Anolis sagrei: one gene and its partners. The protein of the gene in region 4 purifies or fractionates together with the protein of the main gene of each other region. This does not show direct contact. Links are inferred from orthologs where the notes say so. Each region holds a gene or a part of one and is shown on either strand. Other genes may lie near its edges.

Region 1 (7,457 bases), on a different chromosome or scaffold from region 4:
GAAAGGTGCTGAGCACAGGGAGAATTGCTGCAAAAGAAACCATACTACAGGAAAGGGGAAGCATTTTATTTATTAGCAGGAAATAGAACCTGTTTACTCAGGAACAGAAAAAAGTGATCATATTAAGATTACTTCCTTGCAGCATAGTGGAGTCTCCTTTTCTGGAGATTTTAAAGCAGAGGCAGTATGGCCATCTGTTATGAGTGCTTCCTGCATGGCAAATGGGGATGTACTGGATGGTCCTGGGGTCTCTTCAAACTCATATCATTCTAAGGTAAGATGGTAACATGCTCCATTTTGAAAGATTTTTTTCTTTTCTTTAGATAACCTTCTATGGGAGAATTTCAGTCCTAACAATATAGTCCTAAGTAAATAATAAAGTGAATAAGACTGATCCAAGCTTCTGATCAACACCACAACAGTGCTTCAAAAACAAGGTTCACATCGGTTGAAACAGCTGGTTGAATCTACTTGTTTAGGAAATGATTAAACTTGATAAAGTCCGACTAAGCTTAAGGTATTTCTACATCTTTTATCTAACATACTTTCCCCAACTCCAACAGAGTATAAATCAACTATATATCTGTACCTGTAAGATGTTACCTCCTGCAAAGGCTACACATAGCAAAGCCAAAGTGCAAGAGAAAATTTAACTTCTATTACAGAACTGGAAATCACAGAGGCATAGACATTTACAGGGAAGGGTGAAAAATACCCTAAAAGCACCGGATTCTGTCTAATATCAGAAGTTAAGAAGGATCAACCCTGGTTGGTACTTGAATGGGTGACCAATGAATAACAGGTGCTATAGGCCCTATATTAAAGGAAGGAACTGGCAAAGACCCAGAGTATTTCTTAACTAAAAACTATATAAAATTTGTGGCATCATCATAAGTCAACAGGCAATGTGAAGACACATATTGTTGTTCTAGTCCATGGAATGAGTGGGAAGGGGTGTTCTCCAAATACTCAGTCAGCCTACATTTCCTAATACAGTGGTTCCCAATCTTTGGTCCTCCAGAACTCCTAGAAATTTGAGTAAGCTTACGAGCTTTAGGAATTGAGGAAGCTGAAGTTCAAAAGACTTGGAAGACAAAGATTGGGAACCACTAACCTAAAGGCACCAGATCTTGTCTGACCTTGGAAACTATGCAGGATCAGCCTTGTTTAGCACTTGAATGGGCCACTACCAATGAATACCAGGTGATAGTCTATATTTCAGAGAAAGGAACTGGGAATTCCTTGTCTGAGAAAACCCTATTAAATCCATGGGGTAGCTATAAATTGACAGGCAAACCGAAGGCACATACACTCAAGAAAGCAAGCAGAGTGTAAGACACCAGGGTGGAAAAAATAACTCCCAGGACAAGTGCTAACACAAATAAAATCAGGGTTGGTAAAGGTGCGTTACGGCAAAGCTTTGACACTTGTAGGAAGAGAGATTTCACCTAAACATGAGGATGAACTTTTTCATGGTAAGAGTTGGTTGATAGTGGAATTCACTGGGGCAGAGCCTCCTTCTCTGGGCGTTTGCAAGCAGAGGTTGGATGGCCATCTGTCATGAGAGCTTTGATTGTCAGACTGGAGTTGGACTGGATAGCCTTTGTGGTGTATTCCAACTCTAATTGTATAGCAGAACCTTGTGTGTGAAAAAAGGTCCCAGATGAAGCACTCCTATTAAGAACATGCATGTTGGTAACAAGAGAGGGCACCAGTTACCCTTATATCAGTGGTTCCCAACCTGTGATCTATAGATCGCCAGTGATCCCCAAAAATGAAAATATGGTCCGCAGCCTCACTATTACTACACCTTTGCATCAAAACCACACGGCAATGAGAGCAACGGGTCTCATGAAACCATCTTATAGTGTTGAGGCAACAGGGATGTCGGGAGGGGAGCGGCTGACTTCCCATAAAAGATTACTACTACCACACTGGCTCTAGATTACTAAATATGGTTTTCTGTAGGCAAGCAGTTGGCAACTACTGGATGGCATATGTTCTGTATCAGAAACTAGAACTGATATGATCTATCCAATGCAATTTTCGGAATCACCACCCCAAATAACCAAACCAAATCTAAAGTTGATAAAAAAAACTTATTTGTAACCCTCTTGATATTAATGTTGGAGAGTGGTCCCTGGTCAAAAAAGGGCTGGGAACCACTGCCTTTTATGTGGCAAGCCTTGCTTTCTGCTGCTCTGGAGACGAGGACACGGATCCATGGATTCAAACCGCAGGAAAAGCGATTCCACCTGAACATCAGGAAGAACTTCTGAAGGCGAGAACTGTTCGGCAGTGGAACATGTTGCCTCCCCGGAGTGTGGTGGAGTCTCCTTCTGTGGAGATTTTCAAGCAGAGGCTGGGTGGCCATCTGCCGGGAGGGCTTGGATTGTGCGCTGCTCCAGCTAGCTCTGTGACTCCATGATTCCACGGGCTGTGCTTCCGAGCCGCTTAAGGGCGCCCCTTTCCAGTCCCCACCTTGCCTTCGCGGCCCGTTCTCAAGCGGCGGGGCCTGCCCCAGGCCGGACGGAGAAGAAGGCCCCGGCCACATGGCGGAGGAGAAGGAAGGAAGGAAGGCGGGGAGAGGGCTCGGGGCGGAAGGCAACGAGGCCTGAGCCGAGGGGAAACGCCCAGGAAAGTTGAAGGGAGCGAGGAGGGCCGGGCCGGGCCTGCCCTCAGGGCTCAGGCCTAGAAGGGCCCTCCGGGAGCCGTGGCCGCTCCTTAAAATGGTGCCCGCGCTGGGACTGCCCCGCCCGCCCACTGGTTCCCCCTCCTGGTCAACCGGGCCGCGGCCGAGAGCAACGAGACCCGCCGCCGCCGCCTCCCTCGCCTCGCCGCCCCGCCCGGCAGAGCCCTCTCCCCGAGGCGCCCGGCCCACTGCCGCCCGTCCTCACCTGGCCCGGCCTCGGCGTCTCCTCACGGCCGCAGCACCACCACCAGCAGCAGCAGCACCAGCGCCCAGGCTGATCCCTCTCACAGGCTCGCTCGGGGCTGCGCCGCCCTCAACAAGACCGCCTCCCATTGGCCGAGGCAGCCGCGCCCCGCCTAGTAAGAGCCGCCCCGATTGGCCCGAGGTGAGCCGCGGCCGCTGCTCCACACGCGGGACATGTTGACTTTCCGGCAGTAAAGGGATTAGCCAATCGCTGCGTCAGGAGGGAGGGAAGGAGGGGGAAGCCCGGTCGCTGCGCATGCGCGGGATGGGGCCAAGCGCCAAAGACTCGGGCGATGCAGGGGGGAAGGGGAGCGGGAGAGGCTCCGGCGGGGGGCGCGTCTGCATCTAGTTGCACGGATTCGACTGTGACAGCACTTTGACAGCCACGGCTCAGTGCTACGGGATTGTGGGATTTGTAGTTTGGTGAGGCAGAGAAGACTAGAGTCCTTGAAAAACTACAACTCCCAGGATTCCATAGAATTGAGCCGTGGGAGTTCAAGTAGTGTCAAACTGCATTCATTCTACAGTGTAGGCACACTCTGTCTCCTTTTACCCGAAATACTTGGGGGAGCAGAAGTGTTTCAGGTTTTGGAATATTTTCATATAGATAATGAGACATCACACTGGCAACGAAGATCCACATAGTTAAAGCAATGGCAGGCATGTAGCCGGGGGGGGGGGGGGGGAGGTTGAAATTCTGATGGTGGTCCGCGAGAAGGCCTTCCTGGTACATTATTTAAACTGTTATGTTTATTCATGTCATGATCTGATCACCATACTCAATATATCTCATATGCATGGGGGTATTGGGGTAACGATACAAAACGTTTGCTAGGGTAGACCCTCTTTCACTCAGACTCAGCCCCCCCCCCCAAAAAAACAAACTCAGTCCCCACCCCCCACCCCCCCAAAAAATCCTGGCTACGGGCCTGAGCAGCAATGGTATTCCCCCTGTAGTAACCTACGGATGTGAGAGCTGGACCTTAGGGAAGGCTGAGCAAAGGAAGAGAGATGCTTTTGAACTGTGGTGTTGGAGGAAAGTTCTGAAAGTGCCTTGGACTGCGAGAAGATCCCACCAGTCCATACTTCAGGAAATAAAGCCCGGCTGCTCATTGGAGGGAAGGATAGCAGATGCAAAGATGAAGGAGTTTGGCCACATCATGAAAAGAAAGGAAAGCTTAGAGAAGACAATGATGCTGGGGAAAATGGAAGGAAAAGGGAAGGGGGGCCGACCAAGGGCAAGATGGATGGATGGCATCCTTGAAGTGACTGGATTGACCTTGAAGGAGCTGGGGGTGGTGACCGCCAACAGGGAGCTCTGGCATGGGCTGGTCCATGAGGTCACGAAGAGTAGGAATGGAAACATTTAAACAAATAAATAATGATATCTTGGAGTTTAATATATAAAACATAAAAAAACCTATTTGAGAATGTTAGTGTTACCTTGTTGTTTGGGACCTTTGAGTCATGTCCACCTTATGATAATCCTAAAGTGAACTATAATTGGCTTCTTATGAAGCTGAGTGGGTTTACATGGCTGAGTGGGGAGTGGGGATTCAACAGAAGAGTGTTCCACACTCTCCTCTGGACCAATATGGGAATGCCAGCATGTCAGTAGTTGCTACTATTCTTATACTGGGCTCTCTCAACCCTTTCCCCACAAACCTGTGAAATAAGCAACAGCAACGAGGAGACAAAAAAAGAAAGGTGTGTCCTTTTATACATATGTAACAGCAAAGAGGAAAGCAGAAGTAGGGACTAGGAAGTGGGCTTTAACAATGGTCTAGTGATGGCGCAAGTCTGACATAAAATCCCATTTTATTTTATTTTATCTTGCAATTATTTCATGTAGTGAAGGCTCAAAGCTCTAATAAATAGCCCATGTTTTTCATTGGTACATAAATGAGACTAATAGTGGCAGCCTGGACAGAGCATTCTAGAATGGGAGTGGCATGCCTGAAAAGGTATTGTCCCAGGTCCTCATGAAATGTATTGATCTCACTGATAGGACACAGAAGAGCTTCCCTCCCTCATCAGACACCAACCCTTAAGCAGGTAGAAGGATTGTAGCACCACACTGTTATACCACCGTGATCCTACTTTAACTGGCATTTGTCATAAGATTTGTAATTTGGTGAGGCACCTACATGAACTGTCTGGCTGAGATTTCTAAGTGTCCTTCCCTATACTGCAAATCCCTGGATTCCATAGGAAGTTATTATTATTATTATTATTATTATTATTAACTTTATTTGTACCCCGCTAGCATCTCCCGAAGGACTCGATGCGGCTTATCAAGTTGTGATGAGTTGTCATTTAAATGTTAAATGAGTGGAATTCTGCATTCAGAAATATATACATACGGCAGTGCCTCCAAAAGCCCACCGTGTACGCAGTGCAGCCAACCTTAATATGGCAATTTCTGTATTGTATTTTTAGAACAGGAGAATTAGCAGGGCAACAAGTATCTGCAGGTACCTCTGGGTTTCCTTGGGAGGTTACTGCAGAAATTCAGTGAGGATGCCTCCAGTTATTTTCCTGTAGTAAGATATGCTACAAGAATGCTAGACTAGACGGGCTCTTAATCTGATCCAGACAGCTCTTCTTTATCTTCTAACTATTCCAAGCCAGAGTTTGGAAGTGATGAACTAAATTTAACAATTCTGAACTTAAAAGTCTTTGCTTTGGGAATAATTAATTTTAAGAAGTGATTTTCCAAACTCTGGACCACAACGGTAAGTGTCTTCTGTATCACTTTTCCTCCTCCTCTTGAGGACATGAATACTGAGCATCTTTTTTGGCTGATCCAAATAACACATGTACAGAATTCACAGAACTCTGTGGCAGGGTATCCTATGTATGCAACCTTAGCAAGGCCATTATAGACACTACTACAGAGCAAAGTCATACCTACCTAAAGTAATGAAAGCAATGCATTTCAAAAAGTAAATTGTAAAATATTCATAGACTGGTGTTGCCTGAGTGTTGGAGGAGCCACTGTCCCCTGCTTTCATCCTTTTTCTTTCTTTCCTTTCTTTCCCCTCATACCTTTTACCCTTTTCTTCCATCCTTTCTGTTTCTTTCTTCTTCCATCCCCTTTCCTTCCTTCCTGCTTACCCTTTCCTTCCTTCCCCCCTCCCTTCCTTCTCCTCTCCTTTCCCTCTTCTCCAGCTCTGAGAGGACCTAACTCGCAATGTTTCCATGGTACAAGGTGCTCTTTGTGGCTCTTTCCTTCCTTCTTCCCTCCCCCTCATACACGTCACCTTTCTTTTCCAGTGACTTCACACAGGGCTGCTTCACCTAGCAACTGCCTTTGTTGTACATATCAACAAAAATGCACACTTTGACTTTAATATATAGATAATTATATAAATGACTCATTGCAAGTTAGATATTGGCACGTATAAGCCTTAGACCGCTATGTACTTACAAGTGAAATGCTCACCATAAGTGGGAACGATACAAAGATGTTGTGCAGGTAGTTGTTCACCTGTGTGGCTCACAAGGTAAATATGGTAAGCTATGGCACTTAAAGGTGTTGTAGATTGTCTCCTAGAGATGCAAATAGCTCTGTGATGTGAGCAGGAATGGATATGATATAGGTGATGATGCCACAAAGGCACTGATGACTGAAGCGATGGAAACCAGTGGTAGCACCTTATGTAGGCCATGGGAAAAGATCCCGAGGAAGGGGCTCCCATAGAAGTGAGTTTAGGGAAAGAGCTCAAGGCAGCAGCAGTCACAAAGCACAGCCACACTTGAACAATACAATTTGATGCACCATCAATTTATGCTGGCAGCTGAACCAGCAAGTATTAGGCCGGCCATATGTGCACATGAACTGTGACCTCAACTTGATGTGGCTCAAACTAAGCAATTCAGTTTTCACTGAAGTGAGGCTGCTTGATGACCTCAACCAACCTATATAGCTGCTTGGGTCAGGGCCAATTTGTACGATGAGCTGGCTCAAGCCATAAAGCGCATCAGGGAGAAAGCTCAGCTGAACCTTTCTCTCCCATGCAGGAGAGAGAAGAGTCTTTGGCCATTAAGAGGGAGGGGCGGAGTGTTGTTCCTTAAATTAACACATATTACCTTACATGTAAAATGTAGAATAGGGGGTCGAAAGTAACCTGCACTGTAGTTGTGGCACGACGTAGTGGTCATACAGGATTCCATTGTCTATTTAGTGGAAAAAAAATTCGTAAGCAGATGTAATATGTGCTTGACATTTTACTTGGCTAATTGTATTATTCCTTATAAATTAATATGAGGGCTCGTATTCTGTCTAACATTTGCAAATTGTAAATCAGATTTTGTAATTCTGCCACTTCACATTTATGGATTCACATTTTCAGTTTGTTACTGACCGGATGTGACAACCTTAAAACTTATTTCTTAAGCCAGGCAACACTACAGCCTGTGGGGTTTCTGAAGCACTGCAGATCCCAGCTGTAGAGAATCATAACTTTGATGCTCTCCCAGGACACAGCCTGTTGGGTTTCACCCCTGGACTGCACAAGTA
Region 2 (7,229 bases), on a different chromosome or scaffold from region 4:
CTCAGCTCCCTCAAGGTCAGTCCAGTCACTTCAAGGATGCCATCCATCCATCTTGCCCTTGGTCGGCCCCTCTTACTTTTGCCTTCCACTTTCCCCAGCATAATTGTCTTCTCTAGGCTTTCCTGTCTCCTCATGATGTGGCCAAAGTACTTCAACTTTGTCTCTAGTATCTTTCCCTCCAGTGAGCAGTCGGGCTTTATTTCCTGGAGGATGGACTGGTTGGATCTTCTCGCACTCCAAGGCACTCTCAGCACTTTCCTCCAACACCACAGCTCAAAAGCATCGATCTTCCTTCGCTCAGCCTTCCCTAAGGTCCAGCTCTCACATCCGTAGGTGACTACAGGGAATACCATGGCTTTGACTAGGCGGATCTTTGTTGCCAGTCTGATGTCTCTACTCTTTACGATTTTATCGAGACTGGACATGGCTCTCCTCCCAAGAAGTAAGCGTCTTCTGATTTCCTGGCTACAGTCTGCATCTGCAGTAATCTTTGCACCTAGAAATACAAAGTCTGTCATGGCCTCCACGGTTTCTCCCTCTATTTTCCAGTTGTCTATCATTCTTGTTGCCATAATCTTGGTTTTTTTGACATTTAGCTGCAACCCGGCTTTTGCGCTTTCTTCTTTCACCTTGATTAGAAGGCTCCTCAGCTCCTCCTCGCTTTCGGCCATCATGTTTGTATACACATGCTGTATACAAAGGTAGAAAGTGATATCTGGAGTTTGGAAGGAGCCTGGAGGAAACAACTTGAATTCCCCCAAATTATTACCTGCTAATAGCAAATTCAAAACAATATTCTCGATTTATAAACAACTAAAAAAAGTATGATATCCTCATCTGTTTCTACATATTTAGAGGGAAATTCAAAATCAACAATCCACAATTAGAAAGTTTTAAAAGAGCGATATCCTTGGGTGGCTGTGAGTTTTCCGGGCTGTATGGCCATGTTCCAGAAGCATTCTCTCCTGACGTTTTGACCACATCTATGGCAGGCATCCTCTGAGGTTGTGAGATATATTGGAAATTAGGCAAGGGGGGTTTATATATCTGTGGAATGTCCGGGGTGGGAGAAAGAACTCTTGTCTATTAGAAACAAGTGTGGATGTTTCAATTAATCACCTTGGTTAGCATTAAAAAGCCTTACAGTCTCAAGGTCTGGCTGCTTCCTGCCTGGGGAATCCTTTGTTGGGAGGTGATTAGCTGGCCCTGATTTTTTTCATGTCTGTTTTCAGAGTGTTGTTGTTTATATCCTTGTTTGGGTGTCTACATTTTGGGGAGGGAGTTTTAAAAACCAATAATGCAGAAAGGTCAGGAGATAATGCTTCTGGAGCATGGCCCTACAGCGCGGAAAACTCACAACAACCTAATAAAGCAGAACTCCAGACAAGAATCAATCAGGGCCAGTCAAGACCTCCCAACAAAGGATTCCCCCAGGCTGTAAAGCAGACCTTGAAGCTGAAGGCTGTTCAATACTAAACACGGAGGCCAATTGCAACATTCACACTTGTCTCACGCAAACATGAATTCTTTCTCCCACCCTGGACATTCCAGATATATAAACCCCACTTCCCTAGTTTCCAGCAGACCTCACAACCTCTGAGGAAGCCTACCATAGATGTGGGTGAAACATCAAGAAAGAATGCTTCTGGAACGTGGCTATATAGCCTGGAAAACTCACAACAACCCTATCATGCAGAATTCCAGACAAGAATCAATCAGGGCCAGTTACCCCCCCCCCCCCCCCAAGAAAGGATCCCCAGGCAGCAACCAGAGAGGCTTTGAAGCTGATAATCAAGGTGGCCAAGTGCAACATTCACACTTGCCTCAAGCAGACTAGAGTTCTTTTTCCCACACTGGACACTCAACAGATCTATAAACCCCACCTGCCTAGTTTCCAACAGACCTCACAACCTCTGAAAATGCCTGCCATAGATGTGGGCGAAACGTCAGGAAAGAATGCTTCTGGAACATGGCCATACAGCCCGAAAAACTCACAGCAACCCTGAATCAGAAACCTTTAAAGGAGCTTTGTTTGGGTCTATATTTGATGGGGCAAATTGAAAAAAACAACCACCCAGAATTGGAAAGTTTAAAAGGAGACCCTTTGTTTGGGTCCAAATAATAAAGAAGAACCTACTACTAATTGTTTCCTCGACCACTGCAAATGGGTTTGTTTGGAGGGAGGAAGAAACCTTGGGAGGGCGCCCCCTGGAGGGATCCCGGGGGAGGGGGAGGTGACAACAATATTCCAGATTGATCCACTGGGAAGGATGGGACGGTGTCTCTGTGTGTGTGTCTCTATATATTTTAGTTTGGAGAAACTAGAAACAAAACCAAAGCAGGACTCCACCAGGAGCAGGCGTCCCCCTTGCCTATGCCTACCTTTTGAGAGGGAAGATCAGGGTTGCAAGCGCGTGTGCCCCCCCCTTTTTCCCGCCTCTCCTCCCCTTGAAACCCCCCCAAAAGGGAAGAAGCCGACACCCCTTACCCTGCTTCTTCTCCGCCGCCGCCGCCGCTCCTTGGCGAATGAGTCCCGTTTGGCGACGAGGGGCGGAGGCAAATGGCCGCGGAGGAGGAGGAGGAGAGGCAGGAGCAGGAGGAGGAGCTCTTCCTTCTCCTCCTCCTCCTCCTCTTCTTCTTCTTCCTTCAGAGAATGAGGAAAACTCGGCCGGCGGGCGGGCAGGCGGCGCTGGAGCCAGGAAAGCACACAAAGGCTGCTGCCTCCCTTTCTGTTCCTGGGAGGAAAAGAAACCGCGAGCCCTTTCCCGCCCAAGAGGAGTAGGCAGGGGAGGAGAGCCGGAGGGCCCGCCCGCCGGATTGCCCTTCCGAGGCGCAACTCGTGGCCGCCTGGAGCAGATGCTCCTCCTCCTCCTCCTCCTCCCCCCCGCCCGGAGCCTTAATCCCGCCAGCCAGGCGTGGGATTTCCTCCCCACTAAGAGGATTGCCGCCTTCAAGAGACCCGCCGGGCAACGCTGCCACGGGAACGCCCCTTGCCCCAAGGGCCTGGGACCCGCTTTGGGGAATAGGAGGGGAGCTGGGCCCGGAAGCCGCGCCGCTCCTTCGGGAGCGCTCTTTGCGCAAGAGAGACTTCGCTAATGAAAGCCAGGCCGGAGACAGATCATATAGAAGGAATGTAAGAGTGGTTTAACGGTGAAATCCTAACCCTAAACCTTGTCCTAACCCTTACCCTAAGCATCCCCTCCTTTCTATCCTTCCTTCGTTCTCCCCGCTCTCACTCCACCTCCTCGCTTCCCTTATTCACAGTCACTTTTGCTGCATCTCCGTAATGCTCGGAGCTTCCAGATCCAGCTATCATACATTCACCCCCTAACCCTGAACCATACCATAAGCCTAAGCCTAACCCCTTACCCAAACCGCTCGGAGCTTCCGGACCCAGGTATCATACATTCACCCCCTAACTCTTACCCTAACCCTGAACCATACTGTAAGCCTAACTCTAACCCCTTACCCAAACTGTTCGGAGCTTCCGGACCCAGCTATCATACATTCACTCCACCCTGAACCGTACCGTAAGCCTAAACCTAACCCCTTACCCAAACTCAAACCGCTTGGAGCTTCTGGACCCACCTATCATACTACCACCCCCTAACCCTGAACTGTACCGTAACCCTAACCCTAACCCCTTACCCAAACCCAAACCACTCGGAGCTTCTGGACCCAGCTATCATACTATCACCCCCTAACCCTTACCCTAACCATAAGCCTAAACCTAACCCCTTACCCTAACCCAAACACTAACCCTAAACCATCCCCTCCTTTCTATCCTTCCTTCTCTCTCCCCGCTATCACTCCCCCCCCTTCCCTTATTCACAGCCGCCTTTGTGGCATCTCCGTAACGCTCGGAGCTTAGTGCCAGTTCATTTTCCAGTCCCAATTCAAGGTGCAGGTTATCACCTACAAAGCCCTCAATGGTTTGGGACCCGCCTACCTCCATGACTGCATTTCTTTCTACAAACCTGTAGGCCCTCCTCTCACTCCCACCTCCATCACAAGCACAGGACGAGGGTGAGAGCCTTCTCCGTGGTGGCCCCTCGGCTTTGGAAGTCGCTACCCAGTGGGATTAGGCAAGCTCCTACTCTGGCAGCCTTTAAGAAAGGCCTAAAAACCTGGCTCTTCTGGTGTGCCTTTGACGAATGAACACAAATCCCCACACCATGTCCGTCCCAGTATAGATCTGTCCTGTGGATGCACTTTCTTGCGTCCCTTAGTGAAGATTAACCCCATTGTTTGCCCCTTCTGAGTCTCCGCTCAGACACCTTACTCCATTTATTCATTTCACCCCGGTTTTTATAAATTTTATCCTTTGCATTTCGCCTGTCCACTGTGTTTTAATTCCTCTACCATTTTATTTTGTTTGCTTTATTGTATATTTTGTTATTGTTTGCATTTTACATTGATGTTTATTATTTTCTTGTTTGTATTTTACTTTGCTTTATTGTAATTCTTGGACTTGACCTCATGTTAGCTGCCTCAAGTCCCCTTGGGGAGATGGTGGCGGGGTATAAATAAACTTTATTAATATTATATCATTATTTATTTATTTACAGTATTTATATTCCGCCCTTCTCACCCCTCAGGGGACTCAGGGCAGATTACCGTGCACATATACATGGCAAACATTCAATGCCAATTAGACATACAACATATATAGACAGACACAGAGGCAATTTAACATTCCAGCATTCCGGTTTCATGGGGGTATGCTTGATTCCGGCCACAGGTTAGCTGCTGCTTCACCATTTGTGACACCAAGTCCTTTGATAGAATACTTCCTCATTCTTCTGCACGCTGCTGGAAGGTTTTTTTTTTTATGGCGTCGTACATTAGTTAAATTAGCCTCCCCGCATAAAGCAGTATCTAAATTTCCTACTTGACAGATGCAACTGTCTTTCGGGCTGCAGATGTCAACAGCAAGCTAGACTAATGGCCGGACGCTCACTCCGACCAGGCTGGCTTTGAACTCATGGCCTCTTGGTCAGTAGTGATTTAATGCAGCTGGCTCTCACACAGCCCGGTTCTATAGTAGATGTGGCTATTAATGAGACATGTTGCATTATCACAGGCTGCCTCTGCCCTACACCACTGGAGAAATTACACTGTCTAGCTGGTATTGCACCACCTGACATCCACCAGGAAGTAGCAGCTCAACATTTGCTTGTGTATGTGATTTGACATGGCCACATTTTTTTTTTGGCTTTTATATGTTTTATATATAAGGACCAAGGCAGTGACATCTCTGGCCCACTCCCTGTTCAGATATCAGCCAGCATGCCCTTAAATCAATAAATAGTTTTCTAAGATCTACATAGATACTCGCAGGAACACCTCAGGAAGCGAGAGTCCAAAAGTGGCAGGCTAAAACCCAGAACCTCAATCCATGGCTGATACCAAATGAGAGACTCCCTCCTCCTGGGCACACAGAAGACTGGGCGACTTGGAAGGCGCTGTACAGACTGCAATCTGGCACCATGAGATGTAGAGCCAACCTTAAGAAATGAGGCTTCAAAGTGGAGTCCATGACATGCGAGTGTGGAGAAGAGCAAACCACAGACCACCTACTACAATGCAACCTGAGCCCTGCCACATGCACAATGGAGGACCTTATAGCAACACCAGAGGCACTCCAAGTGGGCAGCTACTTGTCAAAGGACATTTAATATAATGCCAAGTTTTTAATCTTTGTTTTCTCAAACACATTGGTTCACTTCTGATATGATAAATAAATAAATAAGGCTGTTGGGAATTGTGTGAGTTGAGGTCCAAAACACCTGGAGAGAGGGCCCAAGTTTGCCCATACCTCTTATATCATGAGATCGCTTGGTGCTGGGGCCCAAGCCTAAACACACGTCTGTATCTCCACTGCAGAATGAATGCAGTCGGGCACCACTTGAACTGCCACGGCTCAATGTTCTGGAATCCCAGGAAGTGTAGTTTGATGAGGCACCAGCCCCCTTTGGCAGAGGAGGCCAAAGCCCTTGCAAAACTACTACTCCCAAGAGTCCATAGCACTCAGCCATGGCACTTCAAGTAGGGTCAGACTTCATTGATTCTACACCAGGCATGGGCAAACTTCAGCCCTGTTTGGAACTGTGGGAGTTGAAGTCCAAAACACCTGGAGGGCCGAAGTTTGTCCATGTCTTATGCACATTAATATTATCATTTTATTTATTTTCATATCAAAAGCATTGCCTCAAATAGTATAAAACTGATAGAACTAGAAGGAGCACAACCGGCTAAATATCTTTTGACCAAAAATGGACAACAGTGACCACATTGTCTGTAGCCTCAAACAATTCTTTTATGCATAAGGCAAGGCATTGCTGCCAAGCATACAGGTGCTGAGTTGTCTGTTCTGCTCCACAGTCGCACAAGATGGATTCTTTTAGGTTGCATCATTTTGCCAGGTTGTCTTTTGATCTGCCCACTCAATAATGATGATGATGATGCCATTAAAGCTAGAATTGAAAAGTCTACGACAAATGCCAAGTGTAGACTGCAAGGAAGCAGATGAAACAATAGATCATATCCTCAGCTGCTGCAAGAAGATCACACAGACAGACGACAAGCAGAGGCATAACACCATTGCTCAGATGATTCATTGGAACTTGTGCCACAAATACCATGTGCCTGCAACAAAGAACTGGTGAGATCACAAGCCTGAAAAAGTTACAGAAAATGAACACGTCAAACTACTCTGGGACTTCCAAATTCAGAGAGAATTTTGGAGCACAATACTCCTGAGCCTGGGCAATGCATGGTTCTAAATGGTTCTAAAGTACTTACAAAACTAAAGTTCTGATGGTGAAAACTTCAAAGCTCTAACAAAACTCTCAAAATTTCATTATAAATGGCAGTTCCTAATTGGTTTTTTCATACAAATCGCCAATAATGAAATAATAACAAATTGAAACTGAATCCAGGCAAGACAGAGGTACTCCTGGTCAGTCGTAAGGCCGAACAGGGTAGGGTTACAGCCGGTGTTGGACGGGGTTGCACTCCCCCTGAAGATGCAGGTTCGCAGCTTGGGTGTGATCCTGGATTCATCGCTGAGCCTGGAACCCCAGGTTTCGGCGGTGACCAGGGGAGCATTCGCACAATTAAAACTTGTGCGCCAGCTGCGCCCGTACCTTGGGAAGTCTGACTTGGCCACAGTACTCCACGCACTGGTTACATCCCGTATAGACTACTGCAACGCTCTCTACGTGGGG
Region 3 (7,340 bases), on a different chromosome or scaffold from region 4:
GGCTTTGCTGTCTCCTCATGATGTGGCCAAAGTACTTCAACTTTGTCTCTAGTATCTTTCCCTCCAGTGAGCAGTCGGGCTTTATTTCCTGGAGGATGGACTGGTTGGATCTTCTCGCAGTCCAAGGCACTCTCAGAACTTTCCTCCAACACCACAGCTCAAAAGCATCGATCTTCCTTCGCTCAGCCTTCCCTCAGGTCCAGCTCTCACATCCGTAGGTGACTACAGGGAATACTATGGCTTTGACTAGGCGGATCTTTGTTGCCAGTCTGATGTCTCTACTCTTCACTATTTTATCGAGACTGGACATTGCTCTCCTCCCAAGAAGGAAGCGTCTTCTGATTTCCTGGCCACAGTCTGCATCTGCAGTAATCTTTGCACCTAGAAATACAAAGTCTGTCACGGCCTCCACGGTTTCTCCCTCTATTTTCCAGTTGTCAATCATTCTTGTAAATATTATATGTATATACAATATATGATATTATATTATTAATAAAGCAATATAATACTACAGCAATATAATACAGCAGTACAGCAGATGATGTCCAAATCTGTCACTCCTTTCCACCTGTCACCAAGGAGGCTGTCCAGACCTTGAATCGGTGCTTGGCTGCTGTGTCGGACTGGATGAGAGCTAACAAATTGAAATTGAATCCAGACAAGACAGAGGTCCTACTGGTCAGTCGAAAGGCCGAACAGGGCATAGGGTTACAGCCTGTGTTGGAAGGGGTTACACTCCCCCTAAAGGCGCAGGTTCGCAGCTTGGGTGTGATCCTGGACTCATCGCTGAGCCTGGAACCTCAGGTCTTGGCGGTGGCTGGGAGAGCTTTCGCACAATTAAAACTCATGCGCCAGATGCACCTGTACCTTGGGAAGTCTGACTTGGCCACAGTGGTCCACGCTTTGGTTACATCCCGTTTAGATTACTGCAACGCTCTCTATGTGGGGTTGCCTCTGAAGACTGCTCGGAAGCTTCAAATGGTCCAACGATCAGCAGCCAGGATGCTAACAGGAGCGGCACTCAGGGAGCATACAACTCCTCTGTTGCGCCAGCTCCACTGGCTGCCAATTTGCTACCGGGCACAATTCAAAGTGCTGGCTTTAGCCTTTAAAGCCCTAGAATCATAGAATCAAAGAGTTGGAAGAGACCTCATGGGCCATCCAGTCCAACCCCATTCTGCCAAAAAGCAGGAATATTGCATTCAAATCACCCCTGACAGATGGCCATCCAGCCTCTGTTTAAAAGCTAAACGGTTCTGGCCTGACCTATCTGTCCGAATGCATCTCCTCCTATGAACCGGTTAGGATATTAAGATCGTCTGGGGAGGCCCTGCTCTCGGTCCTGCCGGCTTCACAAGCATGCCTGGCGGGGATGAGAGACAGGGCCTTCTTGGTGGTGGCCCCTCGACTCTGGAACTCCCTTCCACTGGAGATCAGAACTGCCCCTTCAATCTTAATGTTCAGGAAACAGGTGAAGACTTGGCTTTGGGGATTGGCATTCGATGAATGAGCCATTTTCCTGTGATATGGATGGATGACGACGAATAATGACTTTTGATGACGACTGACCACTGTAATTATATGATTGTATTTGCTATTTTAATGTTTTAGTGTGATTCAGAATATGAGGTTTTAATGACGGTCTGTAACATTGATGTTGGAAACCGGCCTGAGTCCCTCGAACGGAGGTGAGAAGACCGGTATACAAAACTGCCAATTAAATAAATAAATAAATATACACAATATATTATATTATTAGTAAAGCAATATAATACTTGTAAAGAAATATAATAATAATAATACTAATAATGGGACAGAAATGTAGAAAAGGTTAGAGCAGAGCTTTGCAAAGCTTTTCTACCTTTTTTTGAGGACTACAACTCCCAGAATCCTCTCCCACAGGAGTCTGCCATGGAGATTCTGGGAGGTGCAGTGCCAAATAGAAAGCCACATAGAATCATAGAATCAAAGAGTTGGAAGAGACCTGGTGGGCCATCCAGTCCAACCCCATTCTGCCAAGAAGCAGGAATATTGCATTCAAATCACCCCTGACAGATGGCCATCCAGCCTCTGTTTAAAAGCTTCCAAAGAAGGAGCCTCCACCACACTCCGGGGCAGAGAGTTCCACTGCTGAACGGCTCTCACAGTCAGGAAGCTATTCCTCATGTTCAGATGGAATCTCCTCTCTTGTAGTTTGAAGCCATTGTTCCTTGTCCTAATGGAAGCAGAAAACAAGCTTGCTCCCTCCTCCCTGTGGCTTCCTCTCACATATTTATACATGGCTATCACGTCTCCTCTCAGCCTTCTCTTCTTCAGGCTAAATATGCCCAGCTCCTTAAGCCGCTCCTCATAGGGCTTGTTCTCCAGACCCTTGATCTGCTCCGTCCTCCTCCCTGTGGCTTCCTCTCACATATTTATACATGGCTATCCTATCTCCTCTCAGCCTTCTCTTCTTCAGGCTAAACATGCCCAGCTCCTTCAGCCGCTCCTCATAGGGCATGTTCTCCAGACCCTGGATCTGCTCCCTCCTCCTCCCTGTGGCTTCCTCTCACATATTTATCCATGGCTATCATATCCCCTCTCAGCCTTCTCTTCTTCAGGTTAAACATGCCCAGCTCCTTAAGCCGCTCCTCATAGGGCTTGTTCTCCAGACCCTGGATCTGCTCTCTCCTCCTCCCTGCGGCTTCCTCTCACATATTTATACATGGCTATCCTATCCCCTCTCAGCCTTCTCTTCTTCAGGCTAAACATGCCCAGCTCCTTAAGCCGCTCCTCATAGGGCTTGTTCTCCAGACCTTTTATCATTTTAGTCACCACCTTCTAAGGGACTGGCTTGCTTGCCCAGCTTCACCCCAAACCTTCCCTGACTCTCCCTTTCGAGTCTTTCCCTTCTTTCCCTCACCAATTCAGGAGGACCGCGATGCTCTGGCCGCTTCCCAGAGGCCGCCATTTTTGTCCCGGCTTCCTTACGTCAAATCCGCGCGACGCGCTCTGGACCAATCCCGCGGGGGCTGGCGCGCACGCGCAGGGCAATCTCGAGAGTGAGGGTGAAGTGCGCATGTGCACCTCGAAGGAGGACTCTACACCGGCGCATGCGCATCTCTCTCCCTGCACGTGAGGCGACGTCTCCTGACGTGGCGAGCGGAGGAGGGAAGATGGAGGCGGTGCCGCTGCCGCTGGCGGGCCTCTCGCTGCTCTTCGGCGGCCTCCTCGCCCTACTTTTCCTTCTCCAGCGGTGGAGAAGCGGCCCGAGCCGCGAGCAAGCCGAGACCATCGCGAAGGGGCGAGGCCAGGCCGAGCAGGAGCCCAGCGGCGCCGGAGAAGGTGAGGGGGCGGGGCCTCGGGAGTCTAGGCCACGCCCACGCTCCGCCTTCAAACCCATCTATACCGACGATCATGCCATCACCGCCAAAGCATTTTTCGATCTATTTTGCTTCATGTTTTCTAGATTTAGACAGTGAAACGTCCAGCAAAACCTCTCTGGTGAAGAAACAGAAGCAGCATCAGCGTCTTCGGAAAGAGAAACCCCAGCAGCACAGCTTTGCCCACCCCCTCCTGGCAGCCGCACTGAAGGTGAGCCCTAAGGTTCATCTAGAGGGCTGAAGTTTGCCCAGGTCTGTTGTTTTGCTTCCTCTCCCCATCGCAAGACGTCTCTGTCTGGAGAGATCGAGAATCCCATGGCTCTCTCTCTCTGGTTCTCCTTCCCTTCCTCAGGGCCACAGCGGGAGCGTCACCTGCCTCGACTTCAGCAGCAACGGGAAGTACCTGGCGTCCTGCTCCGACGACCGGACTGTGCGGATATGGAGCACCAAGGACTTCCTGGAGCGGGAGCATCGCTACATGCGGGCCAATGTGGAGCTGGACCACGCCACTTTGGTCCGCTTCTACCCAGACTCCAAGTAAGGGGGCAGCTTACTTACCCGGCAGCAACTGCTGCTCTGGCCAGAATGAAGAGAGAGGGGGCTACAGTTGAAGACAGTTCCATCTTGTCTCCTTGTTACTAATAATATAATATATTGTATTGTCGAAGGCTTTCATGGCTGGAATCACTAGGTTCTTGTGGGGTTTTTCGGGCTATAGAGCCATGTTCTAGAGGCATTTCTCCTGACGTTTCGCCTGCATCTATGGCAAGCATCCTCAGAGGTTGAGAAGGTCTGTTGGAAGTAGGAAAATGGGTTTATATATCTGTGGAATCACCAGGGTGGGGCAAAGAGCTCTTCCCTGCTGCAGTTAGGTGTGAATGTTTAGCTGATCACCTTCATTAGCATTTGAAGGCCTGCCTGAGTCTGGGAAAATCTGTTGCTGGGAGGTGTTAATCTGTGCCTGGTTGTTTCCTCTCTGTTGTTTAGCTGTTATAATTTTAGAGTTTTTTAATACTGGTAGCCAGATTTTGTTCATTTTCATGGTCTCTTCCTTTCTGTTGAAATTGTCCACATGCTTGTGGATTTCAATGGCTTCTCTGTGTAGTCTGACATGGTGGTTGTTGGTGTGGTCCAGCATTTCTGTGTTCTCAAATAATATGCTGTGTCCAGGCTGGTTCATCAGGTGCTCTGCTATGGCTGACTTCTCTGGTTGAAGGAGTCTGCAGTGCCTTTCATGTTCCTGGATTCTTGTTTGGGCGCTGCGTTTGGTGGTCCCTATGTAGACTTGTCCACAGCTGCATGGTATACGGTAGACTCCTGCAGAGGTGAGAGGATCCCTCTTGTCCTTTGCTGAACGTAGCATTTGTTGGATTTTCTTGGTGGGTTTGTAGATTGTTTGTATGTTGTGTTTCCTCATCAGCTTCCCTATGTGATCAGTGGTTCCCTTGATGTATGGCAGGAACACTTTTCCTCTGGGTGGATCTTCATCTTTACTCTCGTGGCTTGTTCTTGGTCTTGCCGCTCTCCTGATGTCTGAGGTGGAGTATCCATTGGCCTGGAGAGCCCAGTTGAGGGCTCAACAAATACAATATAATATATTGTATTTAGATATAATATTCATAATATTATAATGTAATACAACATAATACTAATAATATAATATTATAATTATATATATTTATTACATGTAATATAACTAATAATATTACAATATGATGGAGTAGTACAATTTTACTTACTTAGGCGATCCCTCGTTGTCCGACTAGGATAATCCTCCAGGGTGGGTCCATAGCTGGCTGTGGAGCCCTATCTTGATCTGCATCTTCTCTCACAGTGAGGGCATTGGTTTCCAGGTTGAAGGCGGTCTCGGTCAGGGTTGGCATGACGTGCCTTCCTCTTGGCACGTTTCTCTCTTTCGCCCTCCATTCGTGCCTCTTCAAATTCCGCAGCACTGCTAGTCACAGCTGACCTCCAACTGGAGCGCTCGAGGGCCAGGGCTTCCCAGAGTTTTTATGGTTGGCTTTGAGCCCATCTTTCAATCTCTTTTCCTGCCCGGCAACATTCTGTTTTCCGTTCTTGAGTTCGGAGTAGAGCAACTGCTTTGGGAGACGGTAGTCAGGCATCCGGACAATGTGGCCATTCCAGCGGAGCTGATGACGGAGGACCATCGCTTCAGTGCTGGTGGTCTTTGCTTCTTCCAGCACCCTGACGTTTGTCTGCCTTTCTTCCTAAGAGATTTGCAGGGTTTTTCGGAGGCAGCGCTGATGGAATCGTTGCAGGAGTTGCATGTGACATCTGTAGACAGTCCACGTCTCACAGGCATATAGCAGGGTTGGGAGGACAATAGCTTTATAAACAAGCACCTTGGTATCCCTACGGATGTCCCAGTCCTCAAACACTCTCTGCTTCATTCGGGAAAATGCTGCACTCGCAGAGCTCAGGCGGTATTGTATTTTGGTGTCGATGTTGACAATTAAGAAGGAGGTGGAGCCTTGGAGGAGTGGAGTGGGCCATTTCACAGTTTTGATGATTAAGGGTGCATCCCTACACTGGCCTGTTGCTTCTCTGACTTGCATCCCAGGCCTGTCTTTTCTTCCCACAGGGCCTTCATTGCCTGGCTGGCTAATGGAGACACCCTCCGGCTCTTCAAAATGACCAAGAAAGAGGACGGCAGCTTCACGTACATCGCCACGGCAGAGGATTTCCCGAAGCAGCACAAGGCCCCCATCATCAACATTGGAGTCGCTGACACCGGTGAGGAAACATGCTGCTTCTTGGCAGGGGGTTGGACTGGATGGCCCATGAGGTCTCTTCCAACTCTTTGATTCTAGGATTCTATCACATCCAAGGCCTTGGCAAACACTTCCTCTGCCTTGGCCCTTCTGCCTTCTCTTTCCTTTAGCCAAGTCTGTTTGTTAATGGTTAATTAACTCTGCTTAGTTACACAAATGAGAAATAGAAAGCTTAGATTAGGGGTCCTCAAACTTTTTAAACAGAGGGCCAGGTCACAGTCTTTCAAACTGTTGGAGGGCCGGATTATAATTTTTTTAAAAAACATGAATTCCTATGCACACTGCACATATCTTATTTGTAGTACAAAAAACACTTAAACAGTACAATAATTAAAATGAAGAACCATTTTAACAAATATAAACTTATTAGTATTTCAATGGGAAGTGTGGGCCTGCTTTTGGCTCATGAGATAGGGTTGTTGTTGTTGTTTTTGTGTGCTTTCAAGTCATTTCAGACTTAGGTTGACCCTGAGCAAGGGCCGGGTAAATGACCTTGGAGGGCCACATCCAGCCCCCGGGCCTTAGTTTGAGGACCCCTGGGTTAGAGGTTTGAATCCAGTGAGAGTGTGGATGAGCTCCCTCTGTCAGCTACAGCTCCCCATGTGGAGACATGAGATGGTGATACAATCAGCAAGTGAATAAAACAGGTAGCAGTTTCAAAGTTTAAAGGTTAAATATCCCTGATCCAAAATGTTTGGGACCCAAAGTGTTTGGGATTTTTTAAAATTTTGTGTGTGTGTTTGTGTGTGTATATATATCCATCCCGTTTTTCTCCCTAATGGGGCCCAAAGCGGCTCACAACGTAATACAATACAAATCAAAGCACATCTATATAAATAAAAATGTAATGTTCGTTTGTGATATTCACAGAACTCAAAAACCACTGGGGGAATTGACACCAAATTTGGACACAAGACACCTCACAACCCAATGTATGTCCTTCACTCAAAAAATTGATTTTGTCCTTTGGGAGTTGTAGTTGCTGGGATTTATAGTTCACCTACAATCGAAGAGCATTCTGAACCCAACCAATGATGGAATTGAACCAAACTTGGCACACAGAACTCCCATGACCAACAGAAAATACTAGAAGAGTTTGGAGTTGTAGTTCACCTACATCCAGAGAGCATGGTGGACTCAAACAATGATGGATCTGGACCAAACTCTACACAAATACCCAATATGC
Region 4 (7,320 bases):
GTCAATGCCCTCCAAAGGTTGTTAAATTCATCAGTTGAGGCAATGTTGAGGATAGATGGGAATGCAGTCCAACATCATCAAAGGGCTCTCCTATTCTGCCACTTGTAATATTATACCATTCTGTCTCTCCAACTTATGTGATTTGGCATGTTCTGTAAAAAGAAGGGGAATACCATGCTGCTTTCCTGCCATCAGCAGGTAGGAATCATTGCCCAGGTATGGTAGAATATCCTCACCACCCCCATGTAGTATTGGTTTAGTCCCTTTAGTGTTTGTTAACATGTATTTTTCATTCAGCTTTAGAAAGTTAACTCCAGGGTCATGGAATTTTGACTCTACAATCTGAATAACACACAGCATTATACAAGACATACCAGACAACTTAACCACCCAGTAATTCTGAGTACATGACAACACTACTCCTTAGAAATTTCTAGTAACATAGGCAACTCAGTATATCACACTTTTACTTCACAGGAACCTATGGGTAAGAGATATCTCTACTTATTACTGTGATTCCAGTTAGAAAACAAAATATCCACAAGATGGAGCCAGAGTTTCCAGAAAGAGAGAGGGAGGGAGGGTGGGACAAGCAGCAATAAAGGATACAGTTGTGCCCAGAAGCTGAATTACACCTCTCCTGGGCCACTGGGGCTTCTTGCTATTTATACGATAGCTGAAATGAAAACCCAGTAATCTGAACCATAATGGCTATTTTTCAAGCAAAAGCAAAATATAAAAAAAACTTAGAATATTTGGAGAAGAAAAGTACACACTAAAGGAGATGGAGAAACAGGAGTTCAAATGTCATGTACACATATACATCACATTGGGGGTAAATTGGGATGGGACACATATGGCCTTCAATTGATGGGCTGCAACTTCTATTATGTTATACTGGTTAGGGCCGATGGGAACTGAAGTTTATCATCTGGTGGACTAAACATTGCTCACTCAGTTTAATGCTTTGCATTACTGTTCTAAAAACAAAACAAAAATCCCATACATAATGGATTAGAAATATAAAGGCAAAATATGATACTGCATAGAGAACTCAAGTAGTTTCATTTTGCCCTGAAGACTTAAGTTTCACATATACACATCAAAACATCATTAAGATGATGGGACATTGTTTCTCTTTTGCTTTGAAGGGCATGGTTCTTAGAGACAAGACTTAAATGTAGCAACTTCTTGAGCTTTGTGCACCTTAGTAATATGAATCTCCACACTTGTTCCTAGGAACAACATAGAGATTTCAATGTAGAGCACGTGGATACCCTTCTATAACTTGGGTATGTGGGTTATCTTTTATAACTGTAAGATTAATCAGATCTTAAGAAATTATTTTTATGTTTCCCTTAGTTGCAGCTATCCATTTATACTATATTCATGTCCATGGAAGGATGCAACAATTGCACTGGGAATAAATCTTAAGAATGGCTGTTAAAGCCTCATATTTAAATTATTCTGTTAAAATACTTGCACAATATATTGTACAAAATTACACTGCCAGCCTTGATTGCTAAACACATTGAAGATAATGAATAAGACCTGGGGCGAGATTTTTTGTACAATTAAGAAATTAATGCTAAACTCTCAATAAAATCACTATACTGCCTCTACATTTATAACATTAATACTATCTCATTTTTTTCTCTATACAGAAACAAAGCTTCACTCCCCACAGCTTCTACTTAATTGGGCTTTTATATCAGGACCTCTTGCACTAGGATGACCATTAGACTCTTGTGAGCATGAGACATTAGCTCCAGAAACTCCCATTGCCTTCCCAGCTTCTGAATTTCCATGTCACAATTAGACTCCCTCAATTTGCTTTACATCTAAGCTAGCAGTGATGGATGTCCAAAGGAGTTAATTGAGAGTAGTGCACTCAAATTATTCCCATACCAGACTTTAAGGGTTTTCAACATCACAATAATAGTACCAAAATTATACCCTGATTATTTTTATTAGGTAAAGAAAACACCTCTCTCCTCCTTACTTTCAAATTTCAAAGCAACCTTTGAAATTGAGTGTATTCGATTTTGCTCTTCAGACAATGTTTCTCTCCCATGCCTTCAATTCCTCATATCCACACTCTTGCAGCCATCAATTTAATCATTGTGTTTATGCTTTGGCTCAAATTTTCTACTCCCCCCACCAAGACTTTCCCTCCTTCTCCTCCTGCATCTTTGCTGTTGTGTGTCTTCAGTCATTTCTGAAGTATACCAACTCTAAAGTGAACCTATCACAAACTTTTGGGGCATGACTTGTTCGGAGGAGGGGGCACCTTTGTCTTCCTCTGAGAGAGTGTGACTTACCCCAGGTCACTCAGTGGGTTTCCACAGCCAAGTGGGTATTTGAACCCTGGTCTCCCGGTCTTCACTCTATGCTCAAATCGCTGCCCCACACTGGCTCTCTTTCCCCATGATTCTTTCTCTGGGCCTAAGCTACAATACAGACCCAGAATGAGACAAAGGGGGCAAATGCACAACAGATGGCTTAATTTGAAATCCTCTTTTTCCCATTTTATCTTTGTTCGTTTGCTTTCCATTTCACTCCTTGTCCGCCTTCCCATTTTGAGAGCCACTCCCTCCATCTTCAGCAAGACACTCATGGACAGCCAACTTCAAATTACTTCCTGCCCCTAACAGGGAACAAAGCCAGGTAGGGGCCTTTGGGGGCAGACACTGGGGAAAGGAGGACAAAAAGGGAAGGAGGTAGAGACCCACCCCCAAAGGTCCCTCTACTACACTGTAGAAGGCCTTTGGCGTTCTCTGCTAAAGAGTGGTGGTGCCTCGGCAAGCTCCAAATCCTGGGATTTCATGGCATTGAGCAGTGATGGTTCCAGTGGTTTGGAACTGCCTTCATCTGTAGCAGGCATGGGCAAACTTTGGCCCTCCAGGTGTTTTGGACCTCAACTCTTACAATTCCTAAGAGCCTCAGGCCTTTTCCTTTTCTCTCTCAGCCGCTTAAGCAGAAAAGCTTAATGCCATCAATTGGGGACCCCTTCCCCCAGCACCAACTGCTGCTCTGGGCCAGAGTAAAGAGAGAGGGGGACAGTTCCATCTTGTCTCCTGCATATGTCATCAGCTGGGGACCCCTCCCCACAGCACCAACTGCCGCTCTGGGCTACAGTGAAGGGGAGGGGGGCAGAACACAGTTCCACCTTTTCTCCTGTGCTATTCTAATCATATAATATAATATATTGTGTATATACATATAATATTTATAATAATGTAATGCAATATAATAATATAATTATATATTTCTATTACATGTAATATTACTAATATTACATGTATAATATAGTAATATTTAATACTGATATTGTACTATGCTAATAATATAATATATTGTATGCATATCTTGTAAGCCGCTCTAAGTCCCCTTCGGGGTGAGGAGGAGACTCAGAGATATTTTATTTATGTCGTAAATAAATAAAATAAAGGGAAAAGGAAGGGGGGCTGAGACTGTTAGGAATTGTGGAAGTTGAAGTCCCAAAACACCTGAGGGGGGGGGGGGGAGGGGGAGTTTGCCCATGCCTGCTGGAGATGAAGGCAGTTCCCCACCATTTGAACCATCACGGCTCAATGCCATGAAATCCTAGAATTTGGAGCTTGCCGAGGCACCACCACTCTTTAGAGCAGTGGTTCTCAACCTGTGGGTCTCCAGATGTTTTGGTCTTCAACCCCCAGAAATCCTATCAGTTGGTAAACTGGCTGGGATTTCTGGGAGTTGTGGAGCAAAACACTTGGGGACCCACAGGTTGGGACCCACTGCTTTAAAAGAACGCCAAAGGCCTTGTAAAACTCCAGCTCCCAGGATCCCAGAGCATTCTGCCATGGCAGTTACAGACAAACTGCATGGATTCTGTCTTGTGGATGCGCCAAGACTAGGGAAGGGGAGCACCTGTCAGCTCCGCCTCTGCTTTGCCTCGTAGGGTGGGAAGGGGCGCCATCTTATGATGCTCTACTTGAGGCATCAAAGGCCTGTGAGCACCTTCTGGAGCCCTCCTCCTCCTCACAGAGACACGCTCGCGATTCTCCCTGTTTTCTGTGCTGTGTGCCACAGCCCTCTTCGGTTGTGAAAGCTGCCTTCCCTCTCTTCTCAGGCGCCGAGGCCTTCCCTCCATCCACCTCCATCCCCTTCAGAGAGGAAGATGTAGGCCCGTCCCTCTCCCCTTCTCCCTCCCTCCCTCCTCAGGCTGCTCTTGGCCCCGCCCCCTCCTCGCTTTGCTATTTGACGCGAGGCGTCGCCATCTTGGAGCCCCGCCCCCTACCGAACGCGGACTGCGCCTGCGCGCGCCGGGAAAGCGAGCAAGCGAGTGAGCGAGAGTGAGCCAGGCGGCCGCCGTCGCTGCTGCTGCTTCTCTCCCTCCCTCCCTCCGCCCGCCTCCTTCCTTCCTTCCTCCCCCCTCAGCCATGGCGGAGCCGCCACCGACCACCGGGACGCCGCCATCTCCAACGCCGCCATCAATAGCAACAGCAGCACCCGGCGGCGGCTCGCAGCGCCTCCTCTTCACCCATGACTTGGTCTCCGGCAAGTACAGGGGCTCGGTGCGCTTCGGCCTGGTCCGCGTCATGCACGGCGAGGACTCCGACTCTGAGGAAGACGACGGCGGGGGAGGAGGAGGAGGAGGGGGCGGAGGGGGAGGAGGACGAGGCCCAGCAACAGCAGGAGGAGGAGGAGGAGGGGGCAGCTCGGCGGGCTCGGAGTCCGGGGGCCCCGGAGGAGGAGGAGGAGGGGAAGAAGGCCGCGGGAGCCCCCTCCGCCGCGGCTACGTGCGCGTCCAGTGGTACCCCGAGGGCATCAAGCAGCACGTCAAGGAGACCAAGGTAGGCCCCTCCCGAGTGGGCAAGGAGCGGGGGAAAGGAGATGCCGAGGCAGGAGCAGCAGCAGCAGCAGGCCCTCTGTGGGCGTGGGCCTGGTGGGGGCTGCGGCAGGGGAGGAGGAAGAGGAAGGGCCGCCCTGAGGAACCTGAGGGAGGGTCGGGGGTCTTAAAGGAAAGTTGGCGAGGAAAGAGGGCGGTGGCAAGGAGGGAGAGCGAGGAGAAAGGACGGGGACATGCTCTCCCTCTGTGTGTGTGTATTCCTCACACATATATACAGATATATATATATATATATATATATATATATATATATACACACACACACACACACACATACAGATATATATATACAGATATATACACACACAGTTACGACTGTGGAATGACCTGCGGAAGAGCTCCAACAGCTAAACAAACTCAACACCCATCCCTTCTGGCAGGCCTACCCAGTCAACTTGCTATCATGTGTTTTGATTTGCACTCTATTGCCACGACTGGCGGAGGTGGGTGAGCGATGGGGTCTCCTCAGTGGTGGCCCCTCGCCTGTGGAACTCTCTACCCAGCATTCGAACAGTAGTAGAGGCAGCAATTGAGAATGAGACACAATTTATGTGAATGACAATGGACTGACCTGGACTACAATTTCAAACCTGTGTGATTTAAACAATGTTTGAGTAATTTTATGTTCTAATTGCTTTTATTGTTTATTACTGTTGTTGGCATTGAATGAATACCTGTTGACAAACTTGAATTGGAAAATGACTCTGGAACGGCCCAAGACGATGGAACTGATAAGGACTTGAATGAGAGGATATAGTTTATAGCTTTTAATATTGTTATTATGCACTGGCTTATGTCTAATTGCACTATAATGGTTCTTTTGTTTATCAATGTATGTATTTTTATGGCATCGAATTGTGCCGATTGTGTACGCCGCTCTGAGTCGCCTCCAGGCTGATATGAGCGGGATAGAAATAATGCAAAAAAAAAAAAGTTGTCAAGCCGCCCTGAGCCTCCCTCCGGGGTGAGAAGGGCAGGATACAAATATGCAAAATAAATATATGTCAATTTTGTAGCAGTGTTTGGTATAAGTTTTCAAATGTCTGTGCTTGGCAATGCAATTTAGTAATTTATTGTATTTTTATTTACTTCACTTGTATTCCGCTTTTCTCACTCGGGGGTGTGTGTGCTCAAAGCTGTTTCCAACATGTGTTGTTGAAAGCTTGCGTGGCCGGAATCACTGGGTTGCTGTGAGTTTTTCGGGCTATATGGCCATGTTCCAGAAACATTCTCTTCTGACATTTCACCCACATCTATGGCACGCATCCTCAGAGGTTGTGACCTCTCAACCTCTGAGGATGCCTGCCATAGATATGGGTGAAATGTCAGGAGAGAATGCTTCTGGAACATGGCCATACAGCCCGGAAAACTTATAGCAACCCGGTTTCCAACATATTTCTGACAAAACATAATGCCTCGCATACATATGAAACCTAACATAAAGCGAGAATAATATAACTATCAATTAGATCATACAAACCTAACAACATTTAAACATTAAAACATAGAATTAAAACATATTAATATAAATGGTAAAATCACATAATCCAGAAATAATGGTCCAAGGCCATGTATTTTTATGTTTGTTTGTTTGTTTTTTAATTAGTTGTACCCCTCCTTGAGCCATCAGGGAAGGCAGATAATGAATAAAATGTATTACTATTATTATGCACACAATCTCACACACATTGATATAGATATACATATACACACATAGGTTCTCTCTCACACACATACACATATATACACAAAAACATATATACATTTGCACATATATAGATACACATCCATCCCCTCATACGTACCCTATACACACACCCACACACATATATATACATACTCTCACACAAATAAATATTGCTAAAGATATATACTTTCTCTCTTACATACAGATATATACACACCCACACATATACTGAGTGTGCCAAAAGTCACAAAGGGGTTTCAATATTTAATAATTCCTTTGTGCTTTGTTTTTAATTTACAATGTTCACAAAAGCATATATAGAATATATAGGAAATGAAATTGAATTACATTATATATAAAATCTTTTCAAACAAAAATTTCAAAGAATTATTGAAACATTAGATGCCTTTGTGAGTTTTGGCCCACTCTTTGTATGCACATTTATATATTTACATACATGCACTCAAACATACGTATGCATACATAGATAAGCACACATGTGTACATATATATACTGTATATACACTCACGTGTATAGCTCACACATGCATATATGCATACATACATTCCTTCAAGAATGCTACTATTGATTGATATTATAAATACTGTATTATCTCAGGCCAGTGTGCTCTGAAAAAGCTGCCTTACATTGTCCACATTGCATTGTACAGGTTGTACAGTTTTCTATTTTGGAAAGAAAATCATATTTTTTTTCTCTCTCTCTCTCTCTCCCTGTCCC

What was found.
Region 1: the proteins of UBE2O (region 4) and NAP1L4 purify together in Homo sapiens (affinity purification with mass spectrometry; 3 studies listed by BioGRID, with this or other methods). This does not show direct contact. The link is inferred for Anolis sagrei from reciprocal best matches to the Homo sapiens genes UBE2O and NAP1L4.
Region 2: the proteins of UBE2O (region 4) and EPB41L5 purify together in Homo sapiens (affinity purification with mass spectrometry; 3 studies listed by BioGRID and IntAct, counting the BioPlex papers as one, with this or other methods). This does not show direct contact. The link is inferred for Anolis sagrei from reciprocal best matches to the Homo sapiens genes UBE2O and EPB41L5.
Region 3: the proteins of UBE2O (region 4) and BUD23 purify together in Homo sapiens (affinity purification with mass spectrometry; 5 studies listed by BioGRID and IntAct, counting the BioPlex papers as one, with this or other methods). This does not show direct contact. The link is inferred for Anolis sagrei from reciprocal best matches to the Homo sapiens genes UBE2O and BUD23.

Annotation. Positions count from the first base shown.
Region 1 is NC_090021.1:246,256,334-246,263,790, forward strand, and holds the start of NAP1L4 (nucleosome assembly protein 1-like 4), read right to left. Parts: upstream 3,018-7,457; 5' UTR 2,898-3,017; intron 1-2,897. UniProt on the Homo sapiens protein: Acts as a histone chaperone in nucleosome assembly.
Region 2 is NC_090021.1:223,336,301-223,343,529, forward strand, and holds the start of EPB41L5 (band 4.1-like protein 5), read right to left. Parts: upstream 3,008-7,229; 5' UTR 2,489-3,007; intron 1-2,488. UniProt on the Homo sapiens protein: Plays a role in the formation and organization of tight junctions during the establishment of polarity in epithelial cells.
Region 3 is NC_090031.1:33,213,233-33,220,572, reverse strand, and holds the start of BUD23 (18S rRNA (guanine-N(7))-methyltransferase), read right to left. Parts: upstream 3,004-7,340; 5' UTR 2,951-3,003; coding exon 2,903-2,950; intron 1-2,902. Other genes in the region: TBL2 (transducin beta-like protein 2), read left to right, coding at 3,093-3,324, 3,449-3,573, 3,715-3,899, 5,965-6,116.
Region 4 is NC_090022.1:119,358,619-119,365,938, reverse strand, and holds the start of UBE2O ((E3-independent) E2 ubiquitin-conjugating enzyme), read left to right. Parts: upstream 1-4,298; 5' UTR 4,299-4,424; coding exon 4,425-4,838; intron 4,839-7,320. UniProt on the Homo sapiens protein: E2/E3 hybrid ubiquitin-protein ligase that displays both E2 and E3 ligase activities and mediates monoubiquitination of target proteins. Negatively regulates TRAF6-mediated NF-kappa-B activation independently of its E2 activity.